Linked DNA regions of Drosophila melanogaster. The gene in region 4 interacts genetically with the main gene of each other region. Each region holds a gene or a part of one and is shown on either strand. Other genes may lie near its edges.

Region 1 (8,306 bases), on a different chromosome or scaffold from region 4:
AAGTAGTCGGATGAGTTTCCTCTCAGTTTCGAAGTTTGAAAGAGGTGCAAAGAGTAACGACCACCGCATCCAGTACAATCAATCAACAAACGCAGTTTTTCGTGACTGGTATGGCCGTACCATTCACGGATTGTATCGGTTAAATCGAATTTTTGCCATCCTAAATTTTTCGGGTCAACTTGAAAAGAAGCTCGGAAGATAATAGCCTTATCTATTCCCTATAAATAAAGAGCTTTAAAAATTAGTTAAAAAACAATATTTTTAATGTTACCTTCTCCGTAATATTGATTGAAGTTGATAACTGAAATACCCATATTTTTATTCTGTGATGTGGTTTATTTGCTCCCCATTTTCGTTTAGTGTTTAGTAAATGTTTTTCTGGCAAACTTTTTGCTTTTTCAATCCAAAGACTATGTGGCTTGTCTATCCTTATATGAATCTGAGCGCTTCGTATGGATAATTTTTGGCTGGGAACACGGCGGTTTTGGGCCGAAAACTCGAGTATTCGATATTGTCGATATTGGGTTCCTTAAAATAAAATATATTATGCCAATGAATAAGAAGACTACACACAGTCATATGAGCGAATTACAAAAAAATATATTGCATTGTTTTTTTTCTTCAAAAACAGATATATTGTAAAGTTTACAATTTTTGTACAGTTAACTAAAAATCAAAGCTTTGTATATAAAATGTACTCTTAAGCGTTTTGTAGGCGTTAGAGATGGCGGATATTGGTAGACATTAAAAAAACCTCAACTACTTCAACTTTAATATAACGTATTTAAATATATTCGTTTTTGTCCATATCGATCGTATCGATGTCAGGGCCTGTAAAATCTAGAAAGTTCAGATAAAAAATTAAAAATTTCAGAGAAGAAGCACTCTCACAAGCTACCACGCTTACACTTTTAAGAAAGCGTTTTTATTTTTAGTCATTATATAATTTGTTTTGCCAATTTCTATCGGTATGCCATACATACCGCCACAAGCCGGTTTCTACTGATTTGCCTAATGTTTTTTGGGCACGATCACTCTTTCTTATTTTTATTACTGTATATTACTATTACTATATATTAATATATATTATAATATAATAATATATAATAGTAACTATAGTATATAGTATAGTATAGTATAGTAAAGTATGTTAAAGGCAGGAAGAATCGTTTCCGACTATATATAGTATATATATTCTTGATCAGGATCAATAGCCGAATCAATCTAGCCATGTCTGTATGGAACGTCTAGATCTCATGAACTATAAAAGCTAGAAGGTTAGAAGCATACTAGCTAGAAGCATACCGATTGTAGACACCTAAACGCATCGCACGTGTGTTGAGCCAACTCCCACAAACCTCCGAAAACTTTTGAAAAAGTTTTGATATTTTCTCATATTTTTAGTCTGTAGTCTTGTACATTTTTTTTTATCGATTTGTCAACAAACTTTTTGCCACGCCCACTCTAACGACCCAAAAAATGCCGCCGACAATTTTTTTTTTTTGACAAATTTGTGGATATTTTTTCATAATTTTATTAGTCTTTTAAAATTTTATGGATTTGCCAAAAAACTGCCACGCCCACACTTTAGAAAATTTTTTTTAGATTTTTCTTTGTTTTATTGTTTGTCTTGCTAATTTCCACCGGTATACCAAAACACTGTGATCACGCACATCCTTTCACCAACAAAACGCCCAAGAGGCTCACTCCCTCACTATTAAAGAATTATACAATTTTTTTCTCATTTTATTTCCCCGTAATATCCAACGATATCCCAGCAAAATTATGAAATTTCGCGTTTGCGTACCCACTAGTTATAACGGGTATAAAATAAAATTTATATTTACTTATTTATAGTAACAGGTATCTGATAGTCGGCGAACTCGACGTCTCTTATTTTTTAATTTGCCCTCGACGATAGCGTTTAATCCTGTGTTGAATAAAAATCTACTCACCCTCTTCAGCAAATGTAATTATTTCCTGCGTATTTCCAAAGAAGTCTTCATGATCAATATTTTCATGATCATCAGCAAAAGATTCGTGATGTCCTTTCTGATTTTCATATTCTATGTTGTGGATCGCTGGCTGATATCCAATGCTAGAGCGACCTTCATGGTACCGGTTTTTATCATGAGTCTGAACACTGTAATCGTTAAAATATTCATAATCATTGTGGCTCATCTCACCATTTTTGCCAGTATGGGTTTTATTATCAATACTATGATTTATATCTATAGGATATGTAGATTTTTTTAAGGCATTCTCATTCATTTGTGTGCCGTTGATGCCATTAACTTTTCTGACCGCTCCGCTTTTAAGCTCCTTAGGACTACTGTTATGGTGGCTCTTTAGTTCTATAGGCATAGATGCAATTTGAGAGTTTATTTTTAATTGACGGTTTTCTGTCCATCCGTTTAAGAATGAGTTTTTTTTATCGATTCGTTCTAAAGAACGATTTCTCAATACTTTCCCATATACATTATTTTTACTTATATTGAAAGTGAAATCGAACGGGGATCGATATTTATGATGACTGGGATCCCGTTCGCTTCTCTGATCGGTCCTTCCACCTCGGCCATTAAACAAATGTGATCCGGGCGAGGCAAACGCCCTCAGCTTGATAGTCTTCTGATCTAAATTCTTACCACTGCTCCCAAATGCATTGTTTGGTATCATTCGTCCACCATCGACTCGATATATTGTTTCCCAAATAAATTGCTTTGGTAAAGGATGAGATACATTAGGCTTGTGGCTAAGACCAAGCTTTGTCAAAATTTGCCGTTTTATTGACTCCAAACGAACTTCATCGCTGGGTGCAATGTTGTTATGGGGTTGATTAGTTTTTTTGTTGAAATTATTGTTGGAATGGTATTTGTTGTAGATGTTGTAGTCTGTGTGTGGATTATCTGTGTGAATGTGATAATTGTAAAGTGTTATGTAAAATTCATTATATAAATTTTTGTTGTTGTATGGAGTGTTTTTATGTTTTTAGTAAAGTTTCATTACCCGATATCACACAAGTTTTATCGTTTTTTAAAAATATTTTTTTGTCTTGCTAGCATTATTATTTTAAGATTTGGATTTATTTTTATGGTTCACAAAAATCTCGAAAAGAAATAAAATCAATAATCAAATCTATTTATAGTTTCTGAAATCCAGCGCCTATGACCTCTACTGTTTTTTTTTGCAATACCGAGTTTGACTAGTATTGTACATATTTACGTCACTGGAGCGACATTTCCTTCGTTTTTACGTTAAGAACAATATATAATTTTTTTATTTTATGACAATAAAATTAGACGAGACAGGAATACCTTTCAAGACTCGTAATGTTTTAATTCAAAAATATGTACGAAATTAATCGTGTAGCAAGCAAATTTTTCCAATCCTTAAGATAAACAAATTGCAATATTAAGATAAAAACTCACCCAGACTATGAAAATTTGTTCTAGATATTTTGTATTTTTTGTTATTTACCCTTTTAAGGGGGTATGAATATCCCAGGCTTACTGCGGGTGGTCCTTGTATTAAATATTATTTACATTACTAGTGGTACAACATTTGTCAATAGATATTTAATTTAATCATTGAAAATGATTTTATTTTACTTAAAAATAGCACAAAAATCTTACAAATTAAATTTATTTTACAAAAAATTCTGCATTGCAATAGTTTTGGTACAGTACGATAACCGCTTATTTCACAACAACTCACATCTGTTTTATCTTAATAACGCCAAACTCAATGTAGTTTTTTTTAGTCTCAATAAGAATATTAAAAGATTACCCTATATTCAGTATGTAAAAAATTTTTTTGAAAACTGACCTTTATCGGTGTATATGTTGGGCTTTCCGCTTTCATGGCACAAGGTGCAGCCCTTGTGACTCTCCAAATTCGAAGCATAATAATTACTACTGCTGATCCCATTGCAATTTATAAGTTTGACTTCAAACCAGACGAGTCCAATTAGAAGCCAAATAAGATTGGCTCTATTGCGTTTAATCTTTGAACAGTTACGCATTGAACCATGAATCGCTGGCCAAGGTGCTTCAATTTCCCTCAAAGGGGACACCAGTAGGCTTCTCTCTGACTGACTAAATAGTTTACCTCCTTGTACTAAGTCATAATTAGTTCCGTAATTTGTCTCCAAAGACTGGCATTTGGCATCGCTAAAATTAAGTCTTTGCTCAAAGCCGCTCATATTATCTTGCATTAGATGATGAAGTCGCTTAGTATATCTGTGCCTGCGTCGTCTGTGATTGCGTCGGCGTCGCCTCCTTCGCTGTCGTTTACGATTGCGACTTTTACAAAGCACTCTACATAAATTGTTGGACTTTACCTGTTGGTCGTTATTTATGTCATACGATGTATACCCATAAAGCAACTTTAGCTTCGTCTCCGAAGTGCTACTGGGAGTTTCATTAGGTGTGGTAGGAACCGAGACGTGCACTGTCCTACTGCTGGCTTGGCTTCTATCTGCAACTCCAGACTGGCCAGGCACGGAAAATATGTCTAGGAGTATGCAGCTTGTCAGGAGTGTCGCTACCGCAGTAACCCACCGAGCCAGCACTAAAATAACCGCCACAAACCTTGATACTCTAAGGACTTCGAGGTCAGCAACTTTTTTACGCATTGCAGCGGGTTGTGGAAATGACTTCCGGGAGCCAAGGCTGTTGCAGCAGTTTAAGTTAAAGCAGCAACAGCACTTTACAACCACAACGCAGCATCCTTGGCGACAGCAGATGCATTGACAATTAAAGAAACACCTGCTGCCTTTGAATGGCGCCCCCGATTGCGAATGATTAGAATCGAAGGCAAATCGCATCTTTGATATATGGCAAGCGTGTAGTACAGGCACTGTCCCTTAGAAACGTGGTACAAGTATTGTCAATTTTATTTTTCTGGTAAATATTTTTTTAATCATTGCAAATCTTTTTCCTTTCCTTTCCTTTCTGTCGTTCATTTCGTCTGCCTGTTCAAAATACAAATTTTCGATTAGATAAGTGGTAAGCTAACTGGAAATTAATATGGACACTAAACAAGAGAGGAGGCTACAAATTGGCAAATAAATTAAAAACACCGGAGAAAGCTATAGTCGACTTCCCCGATGCGAAGTTTCATAATTTTTCAGGGATATTTATAAATATTGTGCAAAAAGATACGAAAAAGTTTTAAATTTGTTTGAAAATGTGGGCGTGACCGTTTCGCTCGTTTTGTGGCCAAAGTGTTTTTTATATACAAAAATTGGTTCCAACAAGGCGGTGCAACAGCACATACTTCAAGAGCATCGATGGCTGTTTTGAGGGAACACTTTCCAGAGCGCCTTATCTCAATTAGAGGCGATTTGGAATGGCCGGCACGATCTGTCCCCTTGTGATTTTTTTCTATTGGGTTTTTTGAAGTCCCGTGTTTATGTGAACCGTCCAAGAGCCCTACAAGATTTGAAAACCAACATCCAAGAAGAAATTGCCATCATAACACCTGCCATGCTAACAAGACTCACGACAAACGCCAGAAATCGGTTTACGCAATGTATGGAGAATGGGGGACGTCACCTATCAGATTTCATCTTCAAAAAATATGACATGTACGTACAATATAAAAAAAAATAAATTTTTTCCGATGCCTACAATAGTTTTCATTGAGTTCTGAAAAAGGAAATTATGCTGCCGCACCCTGTATATACTTTGTATGCTCGGCAATGCTCCCTTCTACATGGTACTTACTTTTTAACGTATATAGTATACCCTTTGATTCTACGAGTAAGGGAATATATATACGGGTATACAAATCTTAAATGATATATTCTCCGAATACTTGTTTACTTGATAATTAACCAGTAATTGAACCAGTTTGCGTTGAAACGGACGGACGGTTACGGCTCTTACTGCTAGCCATACAGATGAACATATATTCTTCGTGTGGTCGTAATTGTCTCCTTTACTGCGTTGCAAGAAACTGACTTAAATCAATATACACTTTGAAAGGGTACAACACATTAAAATTAGTCTAAACCTGACGCCGAGCTTCGGATGGCACAGTTATTATTACGCCAGAAATACTTCATACCATGCACCAACAGAAGCGGACAGACAGACTCATCCGTCCCTTCTGAAGAACTCAAGGCGACACACAGACTGTGTCCAGATGAAAAGACCTACGCCTGAATGGTGGTTACTTAGAAGCCTAGCAGCGGAAAGGGATGAAGAGGAATTAAAAGCATGCGTTCAACAAAAAAATTTGTACATATGTAAGAAGGAAGGTGGTTATGTGTATAGGCTTATGATCAGTGTATGTAACAATATGTATCACCTTTTTCTTTTTAGAAACAATAAATTTTCAACTAAGTAAATATATTTCTTCACGAGAAATATTAGGGACACTATCACATTTTCACGATTTATAAATGTATTATGCTTTTCCTTTTAGCACGGAAACAATATTTTGTATCTCCGTTGGTTGCTAAATGACATTGCATACTTTGTGAAACTAAGATGACACTTTAAGCTTTTCAAAAGCTTTCTTGAAAATAACAATATTTCAGCGTTGCCATATTTGCACCAGAAATATCTGTTGCCATTCAAATTAGAAAGAATATCGATGCTATCGATATATGCTTCCTTTCACGATTAAAAAGTCGGCAGATTCAAATGGATGAATTTCAATAACCTAAATCATTTTTAAATCGTAATCGTAACTAATAAATAAAAATGTTGTTAAGCGTAGATGGAATCGTTTACCCAAAATTCCAAATTAGCAGTCGATCTTGTGTCGATCTATGTGCGCCTAAACATTAACAGATTTATCTGTAAAACTTTACGTCCAATTCAGTTAGATTCAAATCAAGATATAAATATTAATATTATATTCATTTGCTAGTACGAATGCGAACGCAAAATTTCATCATTTTTCTGGGATATCGATATTAGGGGGAAATAAAATGGGAAAAAATTGTTATACCTGTTATTCGTGGTTTGCGGGCTTTATATTGGGCGTTTTTTGGCAAATCGATAGAAATTTACAAGACTAATAAAATTATGAAAAATATCCAATACATTTTCATAAACGTGGGAGTAGCAGTTTTGGTCGATTTTAGCGCTTTGAGTGGTCGTGGCAAAAATGTTTTTTGCAGATCGATAGAAATTTACAAGATTATTAGTCTTGTATGAAAAAGTATGTATGAGAAAATATAAAAACATTTTTCAAAAGTGTGGACGTGGCAGTTTTGTGCAGTTTGTGGGCGTTAGATGAAATTATGAAAAACTATCCACAAATTGTTCAAAAATGTGGGCGTGCCAGTTTTGTGCGCTTTGTGGGCGTTAGAGTGGTCGTGTCAACATCTGTCAACAAACTTGCGCTGCGTCTATGTCGCTTGAATCTGTATGCTGATCTCAAGCTTTTACGTTTACGTACAGTACATGAGATTTCGAGTTCATTCGGAAAGACGGACGGTCGAACAGACGGTCGGACAGACGGTCGGACGGACACACGGATACACGGACATACGGACAAGGCCAGATCGATTCGGCTATTGATCCTGATCACACTTTATATGGTTGGAAACGCTTCCTTCTGGTTGTTACATACTTTCCAAATGTGAAATTCGAGTAAGTATTCTATTATTTTGCTGATTTTAGTTATGCAAATCGATATAAGGAAAAGCCCAGCAGATAATATTTCTTTATCCTTTACTTGTTAACAAAAAAAGGGTAAACCGTACTCTCTGAAGAATATTTAACAGAAAGAACAAAGAGGATGTATACGTAACTTCACCGGAATACCTACAATTATTGGCTACATTTACTTTTTACTTCCTTCGAAACGATTGCATCAAACTAGAAATAGAATACGAATATTTTGTTGTTGGTTGTTTTCATCATATACATACATGTACATAGACATAACAAATAAATAATTTACGTTTTGATACAAGCAAAAGCCTCGTAGGAGTTACTAGAATCTGGACGGATAACTTCAATTTTTTGATATCTATAGTTTTATAGGTTTTGACTTTTATAAAGATGGACCGACGGACAAGGGGACTGACTGGCATGTATCGGTCGTCTACGTTAGTGGCACGGGTTAAAAAACTTTATCCAAGACATTGTTTTAATTGGAAGAGTATATAAACCTTAGTTTGCCGATATCATGTTATTCTGGTTTTATGTGCTATCGACTTGTTAAAGCCCCTTCTGTCTGTATGTATTAACTTTCGGCTCCCGAAAATCTCCGGAAATAACTATATGTATTATTCCGGGAAAGAGTATACCAACAAAGTAAGTAGTATAAATAAATAGTACATAACA
Region 2 (8,133 bases), on a different chromosome or scaffold from region 4:
TGATATGTAACAAACTACTATGATTAAATATTAATTGTTTATTCCTTCGCTCTTTAAATACTGGTTGTTTTTGAATTCGTTTCTTATTATCTTCATTATCATTATGTTCGTCGTAATGATGTTTCAGCACCAATGGAAAATATACAAATTAAATACAGCATAACAAAATTCGTTCTATTATTAAGATTATGTCGTTTGGTTTTTGTTTGTTTGCGTAATAAACTATTTTTGTTGTAAGTTGCTCAAAAAAATCAGGTAATGAAGCTTTGTTTGTTTCGTTTTGTTCTGTGTTGTGTATCGTGTTTAGTTGATATCTTAACTGATAATCCAGAAGTATTTCAGATGCTTAGCCATTGATAAGAACTGATGCTGCGCAAAAAAGTTTCAAATAACCCGAAAGATAATACATTCCGCCAAGACTCTCTTAATTAAACTATAGCTTAAATAACTATAGCTCGACATACACCTTGTTTGGCTAACATTATAAGACATACTATCCGTTTAACAATGTTTAACATACTTACTCATTGTGTTTAGCTCTAATTTCTTACAGTGTGTGCATACCTCTTGGGTTGAATATTAACTTTGATTTTTTTTTTGTTTAGATTTTATGCTGACGATGAGTCGCAGCGTGTGCTTCATATAAACCTGCTAGACTGCGTGTGTTCCGTATGCCTATGCGTGTATGTGTTGTGTGTATATATAAAGAGTATAGTTTATATTTTATAATTTATGTATATGCGCTTAAGTTAGATTCTTGTTAAAAAGAAACTTTCCTTTGAAAACTTCAGGTGTTGCTTGTACTGTCCAGTAGAATTAGAATACAATTACATAATTACACATTTATTATGCTTACGCGATTTCTGAGGGTCATTGGCACTACGTTTTGGAAATAAAAAAATAAAAATCAAAAGCAGAAATATAAAACAGACAAAATAATAAAAAATCAGATGGTTAGGATGGAGTTTAAAGTATTTTTATTTAAAATACAACATTAAAACGCATGCACGTTTGAGCGCGAAATAAAAACGTTACAACTAAAAAGTAAACTAAAATTGTTAAATCTATTTTGAAAATAACTTTAAATATAAAACTACTACTATATGAAGACATTCGATAACGTACAAATAAAATTATACTTTAAAAGGCTTGACGATAATTTTCAACAGTTTACATATGCACACAGGCTACTGCCAGAGGGCAAAACAAATTGTACGTTATATGTATGATTTATATAGAACTATATATGGTTATCAGTCAATGAAGTCAATGTCGGATTAGCAACTACCACGTCTCTGGACATAGCTAATGCTCTTTGTTCAAAGTTGCTTAGTGTACGTTTCCACTCATTTCCAACAGATTTAAGAACTCGGGTTAACATCGAATGAGTCGATTTATAATTTAAAGAAAATAATAACAAAGAATCGTTGGCATGTTAAGCTTTTGGCTTTTCCCTTAGGAAAAGTTACATCTTACACGACTTCTTTCGTATAAATCAACCCATTCTATAGCTGCTTATAATGGTACTACAAACTATTAAACTAAAAACGAAACGTCTTACGACCTCGACGATCAACTATCCACTACGAAGCAAAAAGCTTCAACTGATTTTTTTGCAGAGCCACAGATCCGCTGGCTGGTCTGTGGCTTAGTACCGCTTCTATAAGCAATTCGTAGATTCCTTGGCGTCGTCAATGTTGGTGTGGTTCTTGATTAGCAACTGGGTTGAGGGATACTTGTTTAGCTGCGCAAAGCGTTCCATCACACACGAAGAGCTAAGACGAGCCTCAGCGTCGTGATCCCAGCACTCCTCCATTGTGTCGCAGAATACATTAAGTCCCTGTAAAAAAGTTACAAGTTATTTTCATTGACTAAAAGCATTATCAGAAGTCACACTCACCGGATGGGCGCGCCAGGAGTTGAGCAAACGAGGGCGCAGCTTCTTCATTACCACACTCTCCTGAACTTCGTCCAGCGACGGCCTCAGGCCCAGCTCGGCCTCAAAAGGCAGCTGGAACTCACCGACGGGTCCGGCAAAGTCACACCGTGACACCATTTCCCAGAGGACTAGGCCGCATGCGTAGACGTCTATGCGTAAGAAAGCGTCTCTATTGAAATTGATGGCACCCTCAAGCACCTCTGGGGCCATGTAACGTCGAGTGCCTACTTGACCGTGTGTATCGCCGCAGGGCTTGCCTGGCTGGAATATCATGGCCAAACCAAAGTCAGCTATACAGGCCGTCAGATCGCTCTTAAGCAGTACGTTCTTAGACTTGAAGTCTCGGTGAGCTATCGATGGTTTTAGCCCATCGGTCTTTGATGCCGGGATCTCCTCGTGCAGATGTGCCAGTCCATTGGCCATGGACTCAGCGATGCGGCACAACTCTGGCCATGAGATCGTGTGCGATTTGAGGTAGTCGCATAGTGATCCGTTATGCTGGTAGGTGGATATCAGCCAATATTCCGGCTTGTCCATGTGCTTCTCAACGCCCAGGAATTCGAGGATGTTCGGATGGCGCATGCGCGGCAGCTTGTAGATATCGTGCTCCGTGGTCCACGATTCTTTTTCCTGCATGCGAAAGATCTTGACGGCCACATCCTGATTGTTGAGCTTGGCTTGCCACACATCACCGAATCTACCACTGGCCTTCTGTTCCAGCAGCTGAATGGGACGGTTGCTGAGCAATGGCGATGAGTTTGTTATCTCAGCCTCGTGCTAAAGGGTTTAATTTTGCATAATTAAAATTATATATTTGCGGCAACATCACAAGGATATGTACGTACCGTGGGTATCTCGTTAAAGTGCGCCTGCTTGCGGCGTCGGTAGAGAAGAAGGCCCATGCCAACAATGACCATGAGCACGCTGAAAACGGAGGTGCCAATGTAGATGTATATCAAATTGCTGCCGTCCTGCGTCTTCTCCTTGGGCACTGCAACGATACAAGGACACACACGGGAACGAACATTAAAGAGGGCTTTAAACGCTGCCTTGCCACAGGTGAACAACATCTCGAGTGGCGGCATGCACCTGCAGCTGCTGGGGTTGCTATGAAAGGCAAAACGAAAACTAAAAAACGAAAGTTCGCCCCCAATTTCGCATCTCTTTTTCCCCTCATTTTGTTTCGAGATAAAAGCGAGCTAGGCCCAAGAACAAAACAACAAAGAGCAGGGCACAAAAGACGCCCTGGCAGCACAGGGCTTCGAAGTCAAAGGCAGCAGCAACACCCCAAAAATAAAAACAAGAAAGGATGCTAGAATGAAGTCACTCGACACTTGTATACCTGGTATTAGATAACAGATACTCTCCTCGTTGTGGGTTAAGGCTGCAAGCCAATTAAGTATCATTCAAAATAGGTAGAGTCTAATCCTATTAAGCCTTCATAATCGGAGTGAAATAAATTGGATTTATACCAAATAACTACCTCTTTCAGTTGCATCCTTTAAAGCGAACGCATTATACCCGATCGCTAAAGAAGTACCTTACTATAAAAATAAAAACGAACCAGCGAACGTGCACAGGAGGGCAGAAATTGCAACACATGCGGCTCCGAAAAGGGGTTGCTGGAGGCTGGGGATGTAGAAAATGATGGGGGAGCGGGCGCCACTTCGCGTCAAGAGTTCGTTAACACGAAAAACGCTGCCTCGGATGCGAGGAGTGGTATTTTGTAGGCGAAGCCTACGCCCTCTTTTTGCAACTTGAAGATGCAGTAAAAATACAAAAAAAAAAAAAAAAAACGAAATAACAAAAACAAACAAAAAATATATGCAAACGGAAAAATAACAAAATTGGGGTAAACACTCCAAAGACAAAACCCCAGTAGCAGCAAACGTTAAACCGAATCTGAATCCGAAACCGGATCCGAACCCACCTTGTGTGGTTGCCTCCGTGGTGCTTTTAATATATTTCTGGTTGGAATTGCACCGCGATCCCTTGCAGCAGCAGAAGTGAATGTTTCCCTGCCGTGGCTCTGCACTGGTCACGCACTCCGTCTGATTGCATTCGTGCATGTCCGTGAAGCAGCCCTTCATCTTGATGCGCAGGATGCCTATGGGAACGGAAAAATTAAAATTAATCAGTATGCCTGAAACAACGTCAACTTCTGCACGGCTCACCCGTTGTCTCGTTGACCGACCAAAGGACATAGCAGCTGGGAAACTTATCCGCCTCCATCTTACAGTGCTCTATCCGTGTTTCACATTGCTGCGTTGTGTTGCACATCTTCTCGTCGAAGTGCTCGCATTCTATGATCCCATGACTTCCGGGCAAAATAGATCCATGGATTCCAATCAGACAGCAGACTAAATGAAGACAATGGGAAAATAGATTAATAATCTTTCTAGTTTTAGATTAGCACTGATCTATATTTAAAGTATATATTTGAGCAGTCCTAAAACATGAGTAAAGACTTTCAAAAAGTTAAAACGTAGTTAAAGATCAAAGTTAATGGAATTATCGGTTGGAAGTGCTCAAAGGGTGGGCAAATAAAGTCGAGCCTATTTGGGGAATAAGACTGAAAGGGAGGGCGCTCAGCGAGCTCTTTGTGGGCGCTATCCTTTGTACACATATCGCATGCCCAGAAGTAGCAGGAGTAGCGTCCTAAGCTGGGGCCTCTGCCATTGAAAGCCACCCCATTTGGGCACGGAATTAGCCCCACTGGCCACACACCAGCCTTTGAGTGGGCATGGCCCCAATGCACGGATATGCAGTGCACAGTGGGCCTGCAGTAAGGTTTCTTGAAAATCTATTTACATTCTTTAATTCGATTTAATCTGGGATCCTCATCCAAATACCGAAATTTTTGTTGATAAAAATTAAAATGATAATTCACTTTTTAAATGTGTAAATACAAAAAATTTAATTTTGAAAACGTTTATTGCAACGAGCCTGCGATATATTGATTGATATTTCTTGACCATTGGCTAAGCAAACTGTTTTCAATCCTTTGAAACACTTTTCGTCCCACTGTCCTTTAGGTAATCGGATCGCTGGCCATGTATGTGTGTGTTCGTAAGCGTGCATGCTTTATAGTAAAGTAGATACATAAGCAGGCACATTATGCACACAGAAAGGGATGGGTTTAAAGTGGCGCTTGTGCGGAAAAAGGAAACAGCAGCAGCAGAAACAACAACAACAACAGCAGCAACAGGGAAGAGAGCGCACTGCGCCACAGAAAGAGAGAGGGCTATGGCGAGCGAAAGAGAGGGAGGCCGGTGGAGCAAAAGGGTGGGAGAAACCAGAACCTGCCATACAACAAGTTCCTAATGCAGCAAAATCCATTCAAAGAAATGCTCAGCGCACACACACATGGATTAAGATTGGGAATTAGGTATCCGATCGATTTATACCGAGTATGCGTTTGGCGCTCAACATATGAATTCGTAGTACCCACTGTCAACAATTCTTACGATATTTTACTACATTTGTGTAGTACAATTGTTGGTGCTTTAATAGAGTATCTAGTGTATACATTATTCACTTCACAAATAGATTTGATTCCTAGCATTTACATTCGTTATACCTAATTTCTGAAAATTTAAGATGTTCTGATGTGTTGGTTAATAGGACAAAGCTATCACAAAGCCTATACACCCTATATATGAACTTTTCAAGCGCCATGTGATATTAATAAAGTAATAGCATTACGCACCCCATATCATCAAAAATCACACGCACGAATGGTTATAAATCGAAGTCGGCTTGCATTACAGAGGAAAATCGTAAGGCAGAGACAAAATATAATATTATGTACATATGTACATAATAAAGCGACTGGGAATTAAGGCGCCAATAAGTATGCACCCACACACTCGCAGTGCAATACATACCCAGCGTTAGCTGCGCCGTTAGATAAAGCAGATCGTATTTGGACATTGTTATCGCCTGTGCAAACTTGTTTACAGCACTCGTTGCGTATACGTAACGCGAATATTTCGATGTTTCGGGGACAGGTGCAGTGGAATGGAATAACTGGGTACTGTTAATATTATTTTGGCACAGAGTTCCTGTTGTCTTCGCACTTTTCGAGTACAGCACTAAGTGTGTATGTGTGGGTGGCCGAGTGTGTGTGCGGTGCCTTGGCAGCGATTTTGCTGGCCACACGCCGTTTGCATGCGCATTTCCGCGGGTTTTACTCGACTTTTCGCCGCGACTTAATTTTAAGCTAGAGGGGCACAGTTGAAAAAGTATATGCGCGCTGCACTTTTTCGTTTTTCGCAGGTCTGCGGGCCTGTTTTCAAGCGATTTTAGTGCGAGCACGTCTTTCGGTTCGATTAAATCTTTTTTGTCGCAACGGGGCGGCGATAGCGATGGCCGATAGGCGATAACTGACCAGGGCTGGTAGTGAGACAATAGAAATACTAGATACGCGCATTTTGCGAAAGGTATTTTGAGGTGTGCGAGATCTGGTCACGCTCACAAGCAATTTTCTGGAGATTTCTTGAAGTGAGTTTTGTTGCTGAGAAATTTAAGTAAATAATAGAAGAATCGGTCAACAAAGTTTTTTTGTGCATAAACATAAAAAAAATAATTGGAGACCATTATTTTGTATGAAAACAGACTTATTAACAACAGTTTTCACCTGTCAAATGAACGTTTACCTTTCACCAAACATGGCGTCGCTTTACAGTTTATTGCGTCTTCTCTTCTTTTCAGCCAACTTTACGAAGCAACTGAGAAATGACTGGTCGTGGAAAGGGAGGCAAAGGATTGGGAAAGGGGGGCGCCAAGCGTCATCGTAAGGTGCTTCGTGATAACATCCAGGGTATCACCAAGCCTGCTATTCGCCGTTTGGCTCGTCGCGGCGGTGTTAAGCGTATCTCTGGCTTGATTTACGAGGAAACTCGCGGTGTGCTAAAGGTACGTTCTGGCGAAACGAAGGGAAAGTGGTGAAAAACTGATTAATTTCTCGGAAAATTCACAGGTATTCCTTGAGAACGTTATCCGTGACGCTGTCACCTACACCGAGCACGCCAAGCGCAAGACCGTGACCGCCATGGACGTGGTCTATGCCCTCAAGCGCCAGGGACGCACCCTTTACGGATTTGGCGGTTAAGCACGCCCTCTAACCTCCACATAATAAATAACCATGGAGTTAACTTAACTACATTCAAAATACTTGATCCAATTGAATCTTAATCAGTAGTATTCAACGCAAACTTAACCGAACGCAAATATTTTATAATTTCACAATATACGGACTAAATAAATCAAAAGATATCACATAGAGAACTCAATATCATGCATATGTGCATTTTGACTTGGGGCGGTTAATCATCCGAAAATAAGGTCCAACAAACTCGCTTAGGGAGCACACAAATAATAAATCTTTAATGGAAATTAGTAAGACCAAAGTATATTTTTGTACATTTTTGGTGCAGCTTGAATTCGCAGATGGCAGGACGTGCAAAAAGGAGCAGGTTCCCTTTTCTACTGCTACTGCCCGGGAGTATGACTGCAAATTTAGCTCTCCCAGTGGGGATCCTATCGAATCGAGTTGGCTGCTTTGTTGTGGGTGTGATGGTGGTGGTAGTGGTGTTGTTGTTGTTACTGCTCGGCGTATCAGCCAGCTGTGGTGTCGCTGCTCCGGCTGCGAATGGCTGCGGGGATTTTGAATGGAGGAACCTAAAGTCACGACCCCTAGGCGCTCTGCTCCCGCTGCTTCTGGAGCTGCAGGGACATGTAGACATTGGCCGGGGATATGACATTTTGGTCGCCGAAATCGCCAGAGCCTCCACCACCGCCGGCATCTCCGTCGCCGGCCTCTTCTGTGAGTGACATGGACTCCGATTGCTTGCGCCGCACAAAGACATGCATGGAGGAGTATTTCGAGCTACTAAGTAACGTGGAGTCCGTCGCCTCCGTCTCGTAGTCTGAGTTCTCCAGCGTAACGTCCGTTGAGGAGAGTTCTTCGGAGCGGGACATATACGACGACTCCATGTGCATGTCGCCGACTGGTACCTGAAGATCGTCCTCAGGCCGAGGTTTAAGGCGCTTTTTCCCCGTTTTACCAGCATTCGCTTGTCGTTCCAGATTGCTAACGAACTGCGCCACATGTCCATCGCTGGCGCCTGGGACACGTTTTTGCACCAAAGCCTCGACCAGTTGAGATTGCCTCTGCCTCCTGTGGGATCCGT
Region 3 (6,332 bases), on a different chromosome or scaffold from region 4:
TCGTTGCGGCGGTCCACGACCATTTGCCATTCCTTGCGGTTCGTCGAAATTTCGATGTAGAAGCTGTAGGTGCGATCATCGCAGTCCCACAGCAACAGCCTCATTGAGCCCAAATAGTAGGGTTGGCCCAAACGGACGACGATCTCGCCGCTGCCCAATTGGTGGCAAGTATATCCCGAGTCCCAGTCGTAGCGCACATAATCGCCGTTGATAAGCGCGTTGCGGGTGCGACTCACGCCGTCCGTCACAATGGCGCTCATCTCTACGGTGGCCACGTTCGTCTTGGGCGCCACAAAATGGTTAACTAAACGCGGCACCTTGGCCGTGTGCATGGCTTCCAGACCCACAACATGGAATACCTATATATTAATGGAAAGGGAAAAAGTTAAAGAATGGGGAAAGTTTGAAGAGATCACTGCTGACTTACCCGGTTTACAGTGTTCTGGGTGCCCACCAGTCGAATGAATCTGACGGGTCGTGCTTCGAAGTATAAGTATTGCCAGGAGCGGCAGTGGTAGTCGCTGTAGTCGACCACGCGATCCCAATGCTGCTGGTCGCCGGACACCTCAACGTAGTAGGAGTACGCCCGGCTGTCTCTGTCCCAGAGCAGCATGCGAATGTGATTGATCATGCAGAACGTGCCCAATTCGACCACAATGCCCGCATCTTTGCTGTCCGTAATGCAGTGGCGCGTATACCCGTTCTCCATGTCATAGGTGGTCACATCTCCATCCAGCAGCGCGTCGCGACACTCTCCCTGGATGCAGCGCGACAAAAACGTCTCCGCGGCCACGTTTTCCTCCGGCCAGAGCGCCGCCCTGTAGGGCAGCGCCTTTGAAGTGCTGCGCTCGTCGATGGCGTCGAGAATCTTGTCGGGATCCAGGATGCCCGAGGGACGCACCACCTGCAGCAGATGCTCGAGGTTCATCAGTGGCAGGCGGACATAACTAACCACGGACTTGAAGTCCACGTTGCTATTGAAGCGGCTCCACTTCCACACGGCCAAAAAGATCTGCACCTCGGGGGCGAAGAAGCAGTCACGCCGTAGTACCTCCTCCAGCGATTCCTGTAAGCATTACATACTCTTAGTGCCAACTTTACCAATTGGTTGTGAACTTACCTTGGATAGCGTATTGAAGCTGTTGTGCAGCAGCAGGTCGCCGGCATTGCGATCCATGAACATTAGGCAAACCTCGGTGAGTTCCTCTAGATTGTATAGACGCGCCGCATCAAGAATCATGCAGACATTGTCCAAGGCCAGATACTGGCGTAAATAATTCGATATGGCCATCTCCAGATCCTGGAAACCATACTGATTGGCCATGCCCAGCACATCGATGGTGGAATCCTCGTCCAATGTGGACAGCAGCAGTGTGCCCGAGTAAATGTAGCGCAGCAGCACCTTGAACGCTTCCAGCGGCACCTCAAGCGGTATTTGGCGCTGTGTGGTCTCCGCCATGCCGCCGTACAGCAGCGCCCGGAAGTATTCGCTGCGTGCCGCGAGTATGACGCGGTGGGCGGGTATGCGCTCCTCCTCGACGATGAACTCCACGTCCGCGTACTGTTCGTTCATGCAGAGGCGCGCCATGTCCGCTGAGAAGCGATCGCCCAGATCGACCACGTCGGTGTAGTCCTGCTCCATGGCGCCCTTCTTGCCGCCGCCGGACATCTTATGGTGTCCCTGGCTGCTCATCCTTCTCTTTTTTGTTTTTCTTCCGTGCGATGTGTATTTATGTGTGTAAGCAGCCAGAGGGAACAGTTGACAATTAACGTTTCGTCTCGCCTGCTGCGTCAATCCATCGATGACAGTTAGTGATATCGATAATATCGATGGCACAATAGGGATTCTTCTATTGCGGCGAAAAACTGTTATATGTGCAGTGTGACCGTAGGTGTGTATACCATTTAACGCGTACAACAACCATATCGACAGCCGTCTGCTAGCGAGCACATGAACCACATGGTTGCATCCGATAACATTTAGCGAATACATGAACCAAATGGTGTCTGTCTAATATGCCACCACTATTAGCGCGTTTCGGGTTGGTGTCTCTGCGCGCTCACTGGTCACACACGGTCAGTCTAGCCACAGCAGTTAGCGAGTGCAGTCACCACAGTGCGAGTGCTTATCGATAAAACCAGCAAGTCATCGATTTTTAGACCGAAGCGCTCTGTCAACTGCTGCGCACGGTCACTCTACACAAGTATTTCGTACCGTTTGTACGAGAAAACAGAGAAGAGAAAAACACAAGCTCAGCAACGCATCGATATTCGGCACAGTCCCAAAAGCAAACGAAGTGATAGAAGCTGCGTTTCTTAGCCAATTACCTCTTCATTGCAATCATGAAGTTCCAATACAAGGAGGAGCACGCCTTCGAGAAGCGTCGCGCCGAGGGCGACAAGATCCGTCGCAAATATCCAGACCGTGTGCCCGTAAGTACTCAAAAATATATATATAAATGCATATAGGTATAAAGAGACGTGTGTGTGTGTGTATATATGCGTGCGAGTGTGTGTGTATGTGCGAGCTTCTGTGTATGCGTTTGTTTTGCGTCGTTTTTTTTCTCGCTCTTTTTTTTTGTGTTTGCACCGAAGAAAATCAATACTGCGCATATTGGGTATTTCGATTGTTATTACAATATTATTGCACTGGCACATCAGGTGGCTGGGGAAATTTGTGCGATGGGTATTGCATAAAGTGCATTTTGCATTACTGGTGGGGGGAACAGGCGACAAGCTCTCAAAAGAAATTCAAACGAAAATTCTGCCCCCTGCATACACACATACGCACGCATACACGCGCACACAGGCACACAGATGTCGACAGGAAAAAACAAAAGCAAAAAAAGGGAGAGAACAAAGCAGCCGTTTCACTTGCTCAGCTGTTGTGATGTTGTTGTTTTCAGTGCTAGATTTCATCTGTGCCACCTCTTCCTCTCCTCTATCCCACCCTCTGGCTACACAGCAAGAAAATCGCATATATCTATCTGTCATCATAATTTAGTTACAAGCAAAGTTTTGACCACCCCGTTTTTTTTCTGTGTGTGCACCAACCAGTTGTTTTCGATTTTAATTTCGTTTGTTTGTTGGCAAAACGAGCGAGTACTGCGCATAAAAAAAGTCACTAATACTCACTAATACACACTTATACTAGCGCTGCTTGTTTTGTTTTTCGCAAATACACAAAGTGCGACTGGAATTAGTCATAGATGCGCTGCTGAACACAAAACAAAAATAATAAAAAAAATGGAAAACAGAAAGGTTGAAAAAAACAAAAACATCTTCTGCTTCTTCTTTGTTGTTTTTCTGCTATGTATGTATGCATTTCACCACGTTATCAGCGAAAACTCCTTTCACAAAAACCAAAACAAAACCAAACGAAACGAAACGACAAACTGCTGAAGGTGCCCCAATCGCAGCGAAAAGTGCAGTTCTTGTTTTCGATTTTGATTCGGACTGCATATGCATATGTATATATGTACAAATATGTACATATGTGCGCTATATATGCACCCCCGAAATATTATTGCCAGTGTTATTTTAGTGTTTTTTTTTTTTGGCAAGTGCAGCAGTGCCAAATCACAAATCACATAACAGCTGAGCGAGGGGCAAGGCCAGCTGGTCGCTCGGACCACCAGCATATCCATATATATCCGAATTCTATAGAATATACTTAGTACATACATACGTACTAGCACATCTCATACTTGTGCCTTGAGTTCGGCCAATGACGATAACGAATTTCGATAGAACACTAGTGTATAGAGGGGTGGCATTCGCGACAAGCAGTTTTTGCCCATTTCGTATTCACTATGTTGGCACCCGCTTCCTGTTCCAAAAAAAAAAAATTGGACAAACCAGTTTGCCAATAATTTGGCTAAGGCTAACTAATGAGCCCCTGGCTAGAACGGATCGTCTAGTCTAGGCCAGCTAGCAATTATTCCAGAGCCAAGGAAATGCAGTAGATTCGTTACAAAGCTCACTTCAATGACCAACTTGGTCGTCTTGGTGATCAATTTGGCTAAAATGCTGTAAAATGTGTATGTGTTTTTGCATAATGAACAAAAAAAAACAGATGATACAGGTGAACTTGAATGTAAACAGGTGCTAGAAATCTTAATTATATTACAAAACATATACCCCTTGAAAAATGCATTGAATTTGGCTTAAAAATAATATGTGAACAAAAACACACGTGTGTGTAATTACACATTCCAACTTACGAAATTCCAAAATGCATTACGAAATTACTGACTGAAATTACGAAATTACTCATTTTCCTGTCTAAATATAATATGAGTCAGGCCAATAACAATCAGGTATAGTTGTTCGTAAACAAATTAGTTTTCAATTAATATTAAGGTATTTTGTACACTAGATAGCAAGCATCAGAATTCATAAGACTATAGTTTATGTTTTCGGCATTATCATATTCCAAGGTAGCACGTATTCGAGCACACTTGCTTCCAGCAATGCAAATGCCATTTGTAGCCAAATATGTGAGCCTTATTGGGCACGTAATCAGGTGCGAAATGTGCGCACATTAACATGCACAAGTAGCCCGCAACAACAACTCACCTCCTGTATTTCTTCTTCTATTTAAACCCAAAGGTCATCGTCGAGAAGGCTCCCAAGGCGCGCATCGGTGATTTGGACAAGAAGAAGTACCTGGTGCCTTCCGACCTGACCGTCGGTCAGTTCTACTTCCTCATTCGCAAGCGCATCCACCTGCGTCCCGAGGATGCCCTCTTCTTCTTTGTGAACAACGTCATTCCACCAACATCGGCTACCATGGGCTCCCTGTACCAGGTAATTACCACAATGCCCATTATTATTAGCCTTGCAATCGAATCACATACGTTCGATGTATTTTTATAGGAACATCACGAGGAGGACTATTTCCTGTACATTGCCTACTCCGATGAGAATGTTTACGGCATGGCCAAAATTAACTAACTTTGCTCCGGTCGGGATGCATCGGAATGAAGCCCCCCCCCTATACAGAAATCTATATATAAATAAAATATATTTTGTGTTTAGCATGCAAGCTTACAATATGGACGGCGAGTTAGCTAAACGAATTGAGGAAAACCGCAGGAAATGCCACATGAAAAGAACTTGAAATTGATCTGATACGCAGGGCAACAAAAAAAATCCACAAAAACCGAAAACTACAAAAACAATTGTTATGTGAACATTATTTTATATATATACATTTTCCAAACGCGTTAGTATTTCAATTAAACTCTGCTTTGTGTCCTACCCATTAACGAAACAACCAACCAACCAACTTTCCCCACAAAAAACAGATCTATTCACACCCTTTCTGGGCCATTTAATTTCCATTGCTGTAATTGATCCGTGCGAATGCTTTGTACTTTACTTTGTTACTTTGCTAATATTTCAATGAATTCACTATTTTTTTTTTTATTCACGATGCAACAAAATTCTGTGCATATTTAGTGTGTATGGTTACGAATAGGACTCTCTCGGTTAAGTGTACGGTAATTAATCTATTATTAAATAAACAAAAACCACAAAAATACACATGCAAAGGGTGTTTGTTTATTTGGATTGTTCTTCGTTTTCAGTTTGCAATCACGTATATCACGCTTAGATGATTCAGCGATAAGTGACAGGAAGAAGTTATTTTATACTGCTTTTTCTTTTGTTCACCGAACAATGAGTCCTTATCTTTTAAAAATGAAATGAGCTTTAGCAATGAGTGGGTGTTTTTTTTTATTCTTTGCTATTAGTAACAAAAGCATTTATTTATTTTAAATTGAAGGCGTAAAAGGTAGTACTTATGATACCATTCGCAACGCAAAAGTTTAAGTGTGCAAATTAAATTGAAAAGAAATCACTTTGTTTATTGTTTGCTTATCTTATCGCAGCAAAGGCACTTTGCTAGCCATTCAAAATTGCCGCCCACAAACGTTTTTATGGGCAGCACTGTCATCAAAACACAGCTGGTCACACCATCAAGTGCTGCAAAGCAATATCTCAAGTCAGCCATAAGGAGAGCATGTGCTAAAAAGGGACAGCTCCACACAATAAGTACGATTAAATTGCGATATATTTTTGGTAGTTAGTATTTTTGACGCATTTGGCGGACGACTGAGCACGTTTGAATTTCGTGGATTTTTTAGCCAATTTCACCATCTGGCAACACTGTTCGTTGGCCTCGCAGTTTTTCACCGAAAAGGTTTTGTAAAAACACCGTGCCAAACTGTCAGAGAAGCAGGTAAACTAAAGTCCACCTTGTCGGATCGGCCACTGAAAAGCCGGATTAAACAAACAACGGACACGTTACCGAACAGCTCGGAAAGGTG
Region 4 (8,473 bases):
TTGCGCCGCCTGTTCTGCATGTCGATCACGATGAATGGCCGGTAATCCTTGTCCACCGAAATGATCTCCTCCATGTCGCTGACATCGCAGCCACCGCAGGTGATTTGGATGAGGTGGCTCAGCTCGTGGCCACTGATCCAGTGTTTGATGGGCCACTCAATGTCGATCTTCATCCACTCATCTGAAAGTATGCGAAAGGAAAGGCAGAGCGGTTAGTTGGGGGTTCCACAGAGCCATCTTCTCTTCTCCCAGAATCGTAGATCCCATCTTTCTTATCTGGTAACTGACCCCAGGAACTCACAACTGTGCTGGGTTGTGGCCAAAGTTCAGTTTTTGCACCCACGAATAATGCTTTGTCAAGTTATTCACCCACATGAATTTCAGATTCGAGCCGAGCTATCAAGCAGTGCTATCACGAATCTGCGCAATGATCTGTCTAATTGAAAACACAAACAAGCGGTTGTCAACGTTGGCACTTATCGGCGTTCTTTATAATTTTTATAATACCCATCTAGTATAGACATGTCACATATTTTGATTTGTCCCCCGAGGGTATTGAGGGTCAGTTTTGGCCGTTCCGCGGCTGCCGACCAAAGGTCCAAACGTGTGCGATTCTTTTCTGGGCATGATTACGCTCTGGGGGGATGAGTGTTTATGCTATACTAATGTATACTATGTGTACCCACCTTGCACATTCACCGACTGGATGGCTATGGTCTTGGCCGCCGACAAATACTTGGAGTCCTTCTGCTGATCCACCTCCACCTCGGAGACTACGATCGTCTGCTGGGCACTGGTGCTGTTCACCGATGCCGTGTCGGTGCGGTTCTGTTTGTTCTTGAAGAGCCACAGGACGGCGGTGCTCACGTCGAAGCCCTCGGCATCTGCGTCGTCTATCTTGAAGGTGAAGCACATGGACGGATTGGATTTTCCATCTCTCGCTCGGTTGCACTCGACCTCCTCTGTAAAAATAAAGGATAAAGGGTTGTGTTAGCAAAATCAGAATGGTAAAAGGATTCCCTTTGAAGTTAAGCTTCAATCTTTACTTTCTAGTGCTTAAATCTAGATTTGCTTACCTCTATTGAGCAGTATGAACTTCTTGCTAGTGCGAGCGTAGTAATCGTCCAGCTCCTTGTTCTTGGTGCTATCGTCCGGATGGGAGAGTGTCATCCCGTCGAAGATGGGCTTGGGCAGCTCCACGGCCGACACCTTGGGGCTCTCCTTGAGGCGCAGCTTCTCCAGGATCTGCTGCTTAACGAACTCGATGCGTAAGTGGGTCAGCTGCTCCTCGGTGATGTGCTCCACTTGGCGATTGCTCTCGCACTTGGGGCATCCTCCGGCGCTGGACTTCACCGAAATGGTGATGTTCCTCTCACCCAATGGGAGCTCTGGCTCTATGGGCGTTTCCGGCTGCTGATCTAGGTCCAGATCGAGATCGAGATCCTTCTCCTGATTCTGCTGGTCCTCGGCCATCAGTTCGTTGCGCACAAAGTCCAGCGGCGACAGATCATCAAAGTGATCATCGGAGGAGAGGGATGACTCCTCGGGGGCATCTCCGTACATGATAGGCAACTCCACGGGCGGGCTCACATGTCGGTGTGCCTTCTCCTCCTGCTCCATGAGGTGTTGCCACAGGCGGGGCACCTTTAGCTGCTCCGAATGGGAGCCGGGATGGTTGTAGCTGAGCTCCTGCTGCAGGAGGTGCTGCCTCTTGTGGATGACGTGGCGCCTCAGGCGGGCATAGTACTCCCGCTTGGTGATCGGTACATCGTCCTCCTCGCTGGTCGGATCCGGTTCCAGGTGTTTCAGCTGACGGGATCGTTGCTGCCGGATATGGTGTTGCTGCTGCAGCTGTTGCGAGGTGTGCTGCACATGGGGATGCGGCTGGTGCTTAGGATGCGGACGAAGGATGTCGCCACGGGAACTCGGATGGGAGCGGGCGTGCAGGCGATTGTATACGTTCCTGTTCTCCAGGGCCAGACACACCAGCAACACCAGGGCTATAAAGTACTTGGCCATTTCTGAATATGTACTTATGACTTCTCTTTTTTTTTAACTGTGAGATATTTTATATGTATCTTATGATCTTCTGGATCGCCTTTGGTTTCACTCTTGTTTTGTCGGCTGGGGCTGATTGCTATCTGTTTGGCAGCATTAAAACATCAATTTTTCCGGCTTTCAGGTTTACAAAACTCATAGAATTGCAGCTGGTTTCACTTATTGTTGCCGTTTTATAGCCTTGTTTAAGCACTTTTAAAACGTTTATGCGTTTTTTATGATTTTATATAACAACGACTTATACGCTTGAATGATGCATGTTCAATATTTTAAACTTTTCGTTAAGTTTCGTCTGCAAATAAGAAGAAATTTGTAACTTAGTTAATATTGTAAGCACATTCCGATTATTAATCAAATAAATTAAAACAGCTATGCCCTAAATTTTCTCATAAATATTTGCGAACGCGCTGCCCCAATTAAAATGCAATTTAATATGCCAGCGGATCAGGTGCATTTATCACTATCACTCACTAAGCCCGAAGTCTCGCTTAATTTTTGCACCAAATTGCATCATTTATTCCATATCGTTGAGCTCGAATTGGCAGGTGGCAAAGTGCAAATCGTTTTTTTGACATTAATTCCGGGAAGATTTAGTTTAGTTCAGTATTCAATTTCACATTATCACATGGGCTATTTGCCCCAAGTGCGACTCAAATCGAAAGCGTAGTTGCGCAGATCCGCTGATAAGCGGGCTCAATTAGATGGCAATTAGGTGGACGTGGACCCCACACGTACCGTGGTGAGCACACTCCGATTTGCTCCAATGGGATCTGAATCTGCTCAGCCGGATGAATCCGGCGGGGGTTGCGGCATTAACTTTGAACCCGGACACGAAACACGAGTGGCACGGGCCTTTAGCTATAGCTGGGATCGCGCGTCTATATAGTATTCCACTTGTGGTATGGTCTATGATATAGTATGGTGCTTCTTTCTCTTCCGACATGCGGCAGCGCAAACGAGTTGTGAATGAATGAAGCGGTTGGCTGATTAGTAGAACAATTTATGTGACGATCGCCGAGCGTTTGATTGATCGTTCCGCGAGCGCCAGCCGAACCGAACCGAACCGAACCGAAACAATCCGAACCACTCGAATCGCATCGTATCTGACGGATCGTTTCGTATCGGTTGCGGACTCGGATCCAAGCCGAGCGGTTCGGGTCTCGATTTATGACTATAGACCATGGTTATGGCTACATGGCGCTCTCTCTTTAGCCGAAGACAATTGGATATGCAAGTGGGGTGCAGCATTGCATCAGCTTCTTGAAAACGCCAAGCCACCGAATTGCATAAAATTCTTAATTGCAATTTTATTTTTAACCTCCCGCCACCCTGACAATGCCACGCCCCCAGTTGGCGGCGTCACTATCTGTTGGCATTTTTGGCACTCGCTTGGCCACAATGGGGCATTTTGATATCAAGTGAATTTATGATCGCTTCAAACCGAATCGAATCGAATCGAATCGAGTCGAGTGGCCCATTCATGCTAATTACCCCGCAGCGTTATCAAGCTTGACTTTGATGATCCGACTCGATTGTGTGTCAATCAATTAATAGTGAACACGTTGCTGATAAGGGGCGGTTTCCCACTTTTGGTCCACAAATCGGGAGCATGGAATATGTAGTGCGGCATTTAACCAATTAAGTACGCTTAGCATGCGATTCTGGGCAATCCTAATCGGATTCGGTTAATAGATGCGCATTTCAAATACATAGTGTGTCTGTTTTCCAATTTAAATGCGAATGGGAAATTCATGAGTATTTCGGTTGGGAATTTCATCAGCCAGAATTTCTGGTCTCGGCTAAATGTGAAGCAGTCGAGTAAGGTCAAGAAAAGTATTTTGAAGGCCGGCAGATCACGAGTTATATTATACCGCCTATTCGATTTAGCCTTAAATGCTGAACACGTGCCCGATTCGCTTGTCACGAACTGTGATTTTTCTGAACCCAATTAGATCATCGAGACGAATAGAAATGATCTATACTATACGGAGGAGAAGGTCCGTTTAATTGATAGAAATTTTGTAGGCCTCAGCGAATTCTGGCAACATTGTTGGTGCGGCTTAAGCAAAAGCAAATTAATAGGGGTTCTTGTTAGGAAATAATACAATAAACAACTATAAGTATTGCATACTCCCCAATTTCATATTAGATTATGACACCTTTGACTTGCACAATTAAGTTTAGTTTTACGTGTTCCCATAAGTTACATAAGGTATTACACTTTTCCAGTGGCCCTTTTCCAATTTAAATGACGTCCTGGCCTTCAGCATATGTCGCACCACTTATCAACTCATCGCATATTTTTCCACAACCTACGTAGATTGCCACGTTCCAAAATCTGCTCCATTTTGTTTTTTCCAACACAACCAACCTGACGTCGATTAAAGCGACTGGGGGCCACATAATGACGGATCAGATCGGATGGGATGGGATCTGATAGAATGGATGGGGATCGGATCAGGAAGCAGGGCTTGGATTGTAGCACACACGCGACATGTGACACGTTTTGTACGTACTCTTCGTTTTTGACGTAACTCGAGCTGTCCGCACTGCACTGGACTTAATGACTGACTTGACTGACCGACTTATCAAAGGCAGGAATCGAAGCCGAGGCGTGCGACTGCGATGTGATGGGGGCCCGCGGAAAAGGGGTGCCGCTGGGAAGGGGGACAGAAGTTGAAGAAGGTCATTTAACGCCCGGCAGTCATGGCTACGTCATCGAGCACGCCACCAGCGCGTGATCAGAAGCAAAAGCTGTAGTGAAGACTCCGCGGTTGCCATGTCGATGCAAATCGGAGCAAAAAACTGCTGTGCCTGTGAATGGGGAGTTGGGGGTCTGGCGATGCGTCGATTGGAGGTGCAAAGTACAGCCGCTTGATGGAGATGGCTTCTTGACTAAGCGACTCTGCTTGGGGGTTTTCCATGGGCCTGCCCGTATCATTTTCGCATTAATTACGGGGCAGCTGGGACTGGATGTGGGGCTGGGACTCGGACTTGGAGTGGGGCTATCGTAATTGCCGGCAATTATCACTTGCATTTCTTCTTCGCGCGCAGCAGTTGAATGCACTGCGACAAAAACACGGCTGCTTCCATCGGTTTTTGGCAATAAATCACGGCGATCACGCCGTTCTCGCCGATCAGCGGTTGGGAGCATGCCACGATCTGGACTTTGGAACCGCTCACGGAGATTGCCCCGATTGCCAGAAGCCAGAGGCCCGAAGCGTCGCAAATTAATCTGCCATAATACTTTTCTCGCCACACGCTCATCGGCGATGCTACCATAAATCAAGTGCAGGATTAAATAAGATCATCATTGGTAGCAACTAAATTTGGCCAATGACTCTCGACGTGGCCGAAATTCGCCAAGAGCTTTTGGAGGTTATGCGCCTGGGTTATAGGCTCGAAAACTATCAATCAATCAATCGGTGATAGATAGGCCTCTGATCGATAAACCATTCACTGCATGATTAGTTTTTAATTACGGCATGATATTCCAAAAGCGAAACTAGAAACTTCCCTGCGATTTGGTAATAACTGATATTGAGCATTAGACTGCTAAAAAAAATATACAATTTCTAGTATCCCATGTTGAGGCTGATTCCATAATTCACATTTTTGGCACTTTTATTTAAACTTCTTACACAATAAGCCCTTGTGTTATGTAACTCACCCAAATTAATAATCCATTGTCAAAATGCTTGAATAACTTAGCACATTGTTTGCAATCTTCTGCGAAAAGGGATGCTTATCAAATGTCCTTGAGTGATTCTACAATCGATTGTCCGTTTATTTGTTTTCGCAAATCACTTTCGCAAACTCATTATTGTTTTGAATTTCACCACTTGAACTTGATTTCCTCAAAATGACGAGCTGATATTTCGCTGAGCAAAAACAAATGTTTTGAAGAAACATAAAGTATTATTCGTTCACACCAAGTTTCATGTACGATTTGCACGATTTGAATAATTTTCGATCCGATCGTTGGGAACGTCTGCGTGTGAATAATTCGACGATGGGCGGCGCAGCGGCCACAAAAGCCTGGAGCGGTACGACTAACGGTATCTGTGGGGAGCGGTATGGGTGTGAGTATGGGCCTGGGTATGGGTATGGGTATGGGTATGGCCCACTCTTCGGGCGGCAGACAGTTGAGTTTCAGTTTGTTTGATAACAGACACGCCGCCGATCATTGGCGCACTCCGCTGCTCTGCGTTTTAAGCGATGCGCAATTCTACTTTGCTTCCAGCAAGTGCGACAGAGAGAGAGAGAGGGAGAGCAGGGAGAGCCACTGATAATGGGTGGCTTTCCCCCCTGGCCCACACAGCAGCGTTTTAGGTCCGGTTGGCTCCCATCCGATCGCCTCCTGCATCGAACACCCACGCCGCTCGAGGCTGGAGCATCGAACAAGTTCGCTGGCCGGCGCTACATGTTCGATGGCCGTTCGTGAGTTCGAGCTTGTTGGGAATGAGGATCGAGCCCCAGCATTCGTCACCCAAAAACGTGAGCTGACGTCGTGCCGGTGGGGTTTTATCGCTCGATCCAACCGGTCCAAAGTTCAGCGGCAGTCCAGTCCAGCGGATTGCCTTTGACTTTCCCTGATAGCCGACATTGCCTAATGGCGATTGGTTCTCACAGCCAAAGCGATACCATCGCTTTCTTTTGATGGCCCAATGTCTATTAATAAGCGGTACTAGCGAGAGGTATGACTAAAATTGACGTATAACCATGAATGCTAGAAGAAAGTACATATGTATCATCGAAGAATATGCAAACAATGTCGTGTAAAAGACTGAACAATTAGATGTAATATAACGAATGAACTAAGTATACTCAATTTCAGACTCCACCCTACGTATGCCTTCCTGTTTTTGTTTAGCTCTTGGCCAGCTAATCGCTTTCCTCTTGACCAATTTACGATGTGGCTTTTACGACGTTTGGGGTTTCTTGTTTTTAACTTGCTGGCTGCTTCAATTGATTACCATGTGTGATATCATAATTTTGAAGTTTTCACGCCCGTCGAGCATGGGTCTCTTGAGATTACCTCGGAGGACAATAGTATGTAAATGGCTAATATTAATTAAATGCTGGCTCTGATTGCGTATCGCTGTGTTTCACTTTCAAACCTCATGCCAATCGACTGATTAAGTCCGTTCCGAGTTTTGTTTACCTTGAGATTTCACAATAAAGCATTCACCTCAAATATAATGCGATGGAATCGCACAATATACCTTTCGTGATTTGTATACTCAGGATCGAGGCAAAATCTCACTCGAAACGTCTAATTTTTAAATGTGGCGCGCGTGCTGAAAAACACGTCACAATGCACGGCTTATCGTGGCCGGGCCTCTGGAATTTCAGTTTTTAATTAAAACAGTGTTTTGGTGTCATAATTAAGTCAACAATATATGATGCTTATACCCTTGATAGGGGTACTATGACTTTAGTTACACGTTTGAACTGCAAGCTTAAAGTTACCTTAAACATCTAAAGATTCATTCTAATATTTTCTGAACTATTCATCGCTTCATTTGATTATAAATGGCCTTATTCGTCTAGACTTTGGCCTTGCATTTGATCAGGAAAATTCTATGACTGTCTAGTGAGCATTTGATTCAAATTACAGATCAGGAAAGTAAAGTCTAAGAATGTGAACTCAAAAAATAGAGTTATTGAAACGATTTGAATCTATTTCTACTATTCCTGGTTTAATAGGTTAAGAAGAGGGCCAGCAGAACAAAGTCTTCTGATTACAGAGGATTTCTTGTTGACAACCGGAAAGTAGCCAGACAAAACACAAATATACACTGTTTTTTATATATTCATTTTGATAACCATTGATAACACCCACGACTTTCGATTTAATTATAAAAAGTAATTTCAAAAATCATTAAAACGTAGATTATTAGAGTATATATTGCATAGTAAAAAATTAATCGAGGCTGCAATATGTGTGAATATATTTTTATTATTTTAAATTGCAATTTTATTTGAAAACTGCCTGATACATCGCCAAAAAAAAACACTTTTAATTTGTCATAGTTGCTGAAAATTACACTCAAAACTCATAACTTAACCCAATAAAATATAAACAACAAGTATCTATTTTAATCACAGTGTTGAAAATGACTAAGCACCCATCGAAATTAAAGGCACTAATTAAAGCTGAAAACTAATTAGCAAACTAATTAACACTTTGAGGCCTTTCGACCGAACAGGTGTGACTCCGATTGTGGTCTGTTCATGTGAACTGAGCGTGGATCCTCAAGGAGATAATCGAACTGGAGCCAAAAATAATTCAACAGCTCGGACTACAAGAAGTGAAATTAATTAAAATTTTTAGCTGAATAAGGGGCCACTTAATCAGCTCGCTGGGGAAACTTTCCGTTCGCTCTGTAAGTGCGAACAAATTGATATTGAG

The links.
Region 1: of daw (region 4) and Actbeta, changing one enhances a phenotype caused by changing the other (phenotypic enhancement), as found in Drosophila melanogaster (one study listed by BioGRID).
Region 2: of daw (region 4) and put, changing one enhances a phenotype caused by changing the other (phenotypic enhancement), as found in Drosophila melanogaster (one study listed by BioGRID).
Region 3: of daw (region 4) and Atg8a, changing one suppresses a phenotype caused by changing the other (phenotypic suppression), as found in Drosophila melanogaster (one study listed by BioGRID).

Annotation. Positions count from the first base shown.
Region 1 is NC_004353.4:1,078,302-1,086,607, forward strand, and holds the start of Actbeta (Activin-beta), read right to left. Parts: upstream 6,496-8,306; 5' UTR 6,313-6,495; intron 4,973-6,312; 5' UTR 4,826-4,972; coding exon 3,826-4,825; intron 2,907-3,825; coding exon 1,956-2,906; intron 529-1,955; coding exon 272-528; intron 219-271; coding exon 1-218. UniProt on the Drosophila melanogaster protein: Controls several aspects of neuronal morphogenesis; essential for optic lobe development, EcR-B1 expression in larval brains, mushroom body remodeling, dorsal neuron morphogenesis and motoneuron axon guidance.
Region 2 is NT_033777.3:14,619,374-14,627,506, forward strand, and holds the start of put (punt), read right to left. Parts: upstream 6,331-8,133; 5' UTR 5,873-6,330; coding exon 5,827-5,872; intron 4,300-5,826; coding exon 4,114-4,299; intron 4,047-4,113; coding exon 3,870-4,046; intron 2,931-3,869; coding exon 2,785-2,930; intron 2,717-2,784; coding exon 1,901-2,716; intron 1,841-1,900; coding exon 1,661-1,840; coding exon of another isoform or gene 1,649-1,660; 3' UTR 1-1,648. Other genes in the region: His4r (histone H4 replacement), read left to right, coding at 6,677-6,856, 6,921-7,052; CG7886 (uncharacterized protein), read right to left, coding at 7,637-8,133.
Region 3 is NC_004354.4:10,764,082-10,770,413, reverse strand, and holds Atg8a (Autophagy-related 8a), read left to right. Parts: upstream 1-2,075; 5' UTR 2,076-2,343; coding exon 2,344-2,433; intron 2,434-3,107; exon of another isoform or gene 3,108-3,246; coding exon of another isoform or gene 3,247-3,261; intron 3,262-3,757; exon of another isoform or gene 3,758-4,036; coding exon of another isoform or gene 4,037-4,084; intron 4,085-4,611; coding exon 4,612-4,809; intron 4,810-4,878; coding exon 4,879-4,956; 3' UTR 4,957-5,536; downstream 5,537-6,332. Other genes in the region: BTBD9 (BTB (POZ) domain containing 9), read right to left, coding at 1-359, 428-1,066, 1,121-1,693.
Region 4 is NT_033779.5:2,802,857-2,811,329, reverse strand, and holds the start of daw (dawdle), read right to left. Parts: upstream 6,070-8,473; 5' UTR 5,729-6,069; intron 3,009-5,728; exon of another isoform or gene 2,794-3,008; intron 2,351-2,793; 5' UTR 2,020-2,350; coding exon 1,077-2,019; intron 963-1,076; coding exon 687-962; intron 182-686; coding exon 1-181.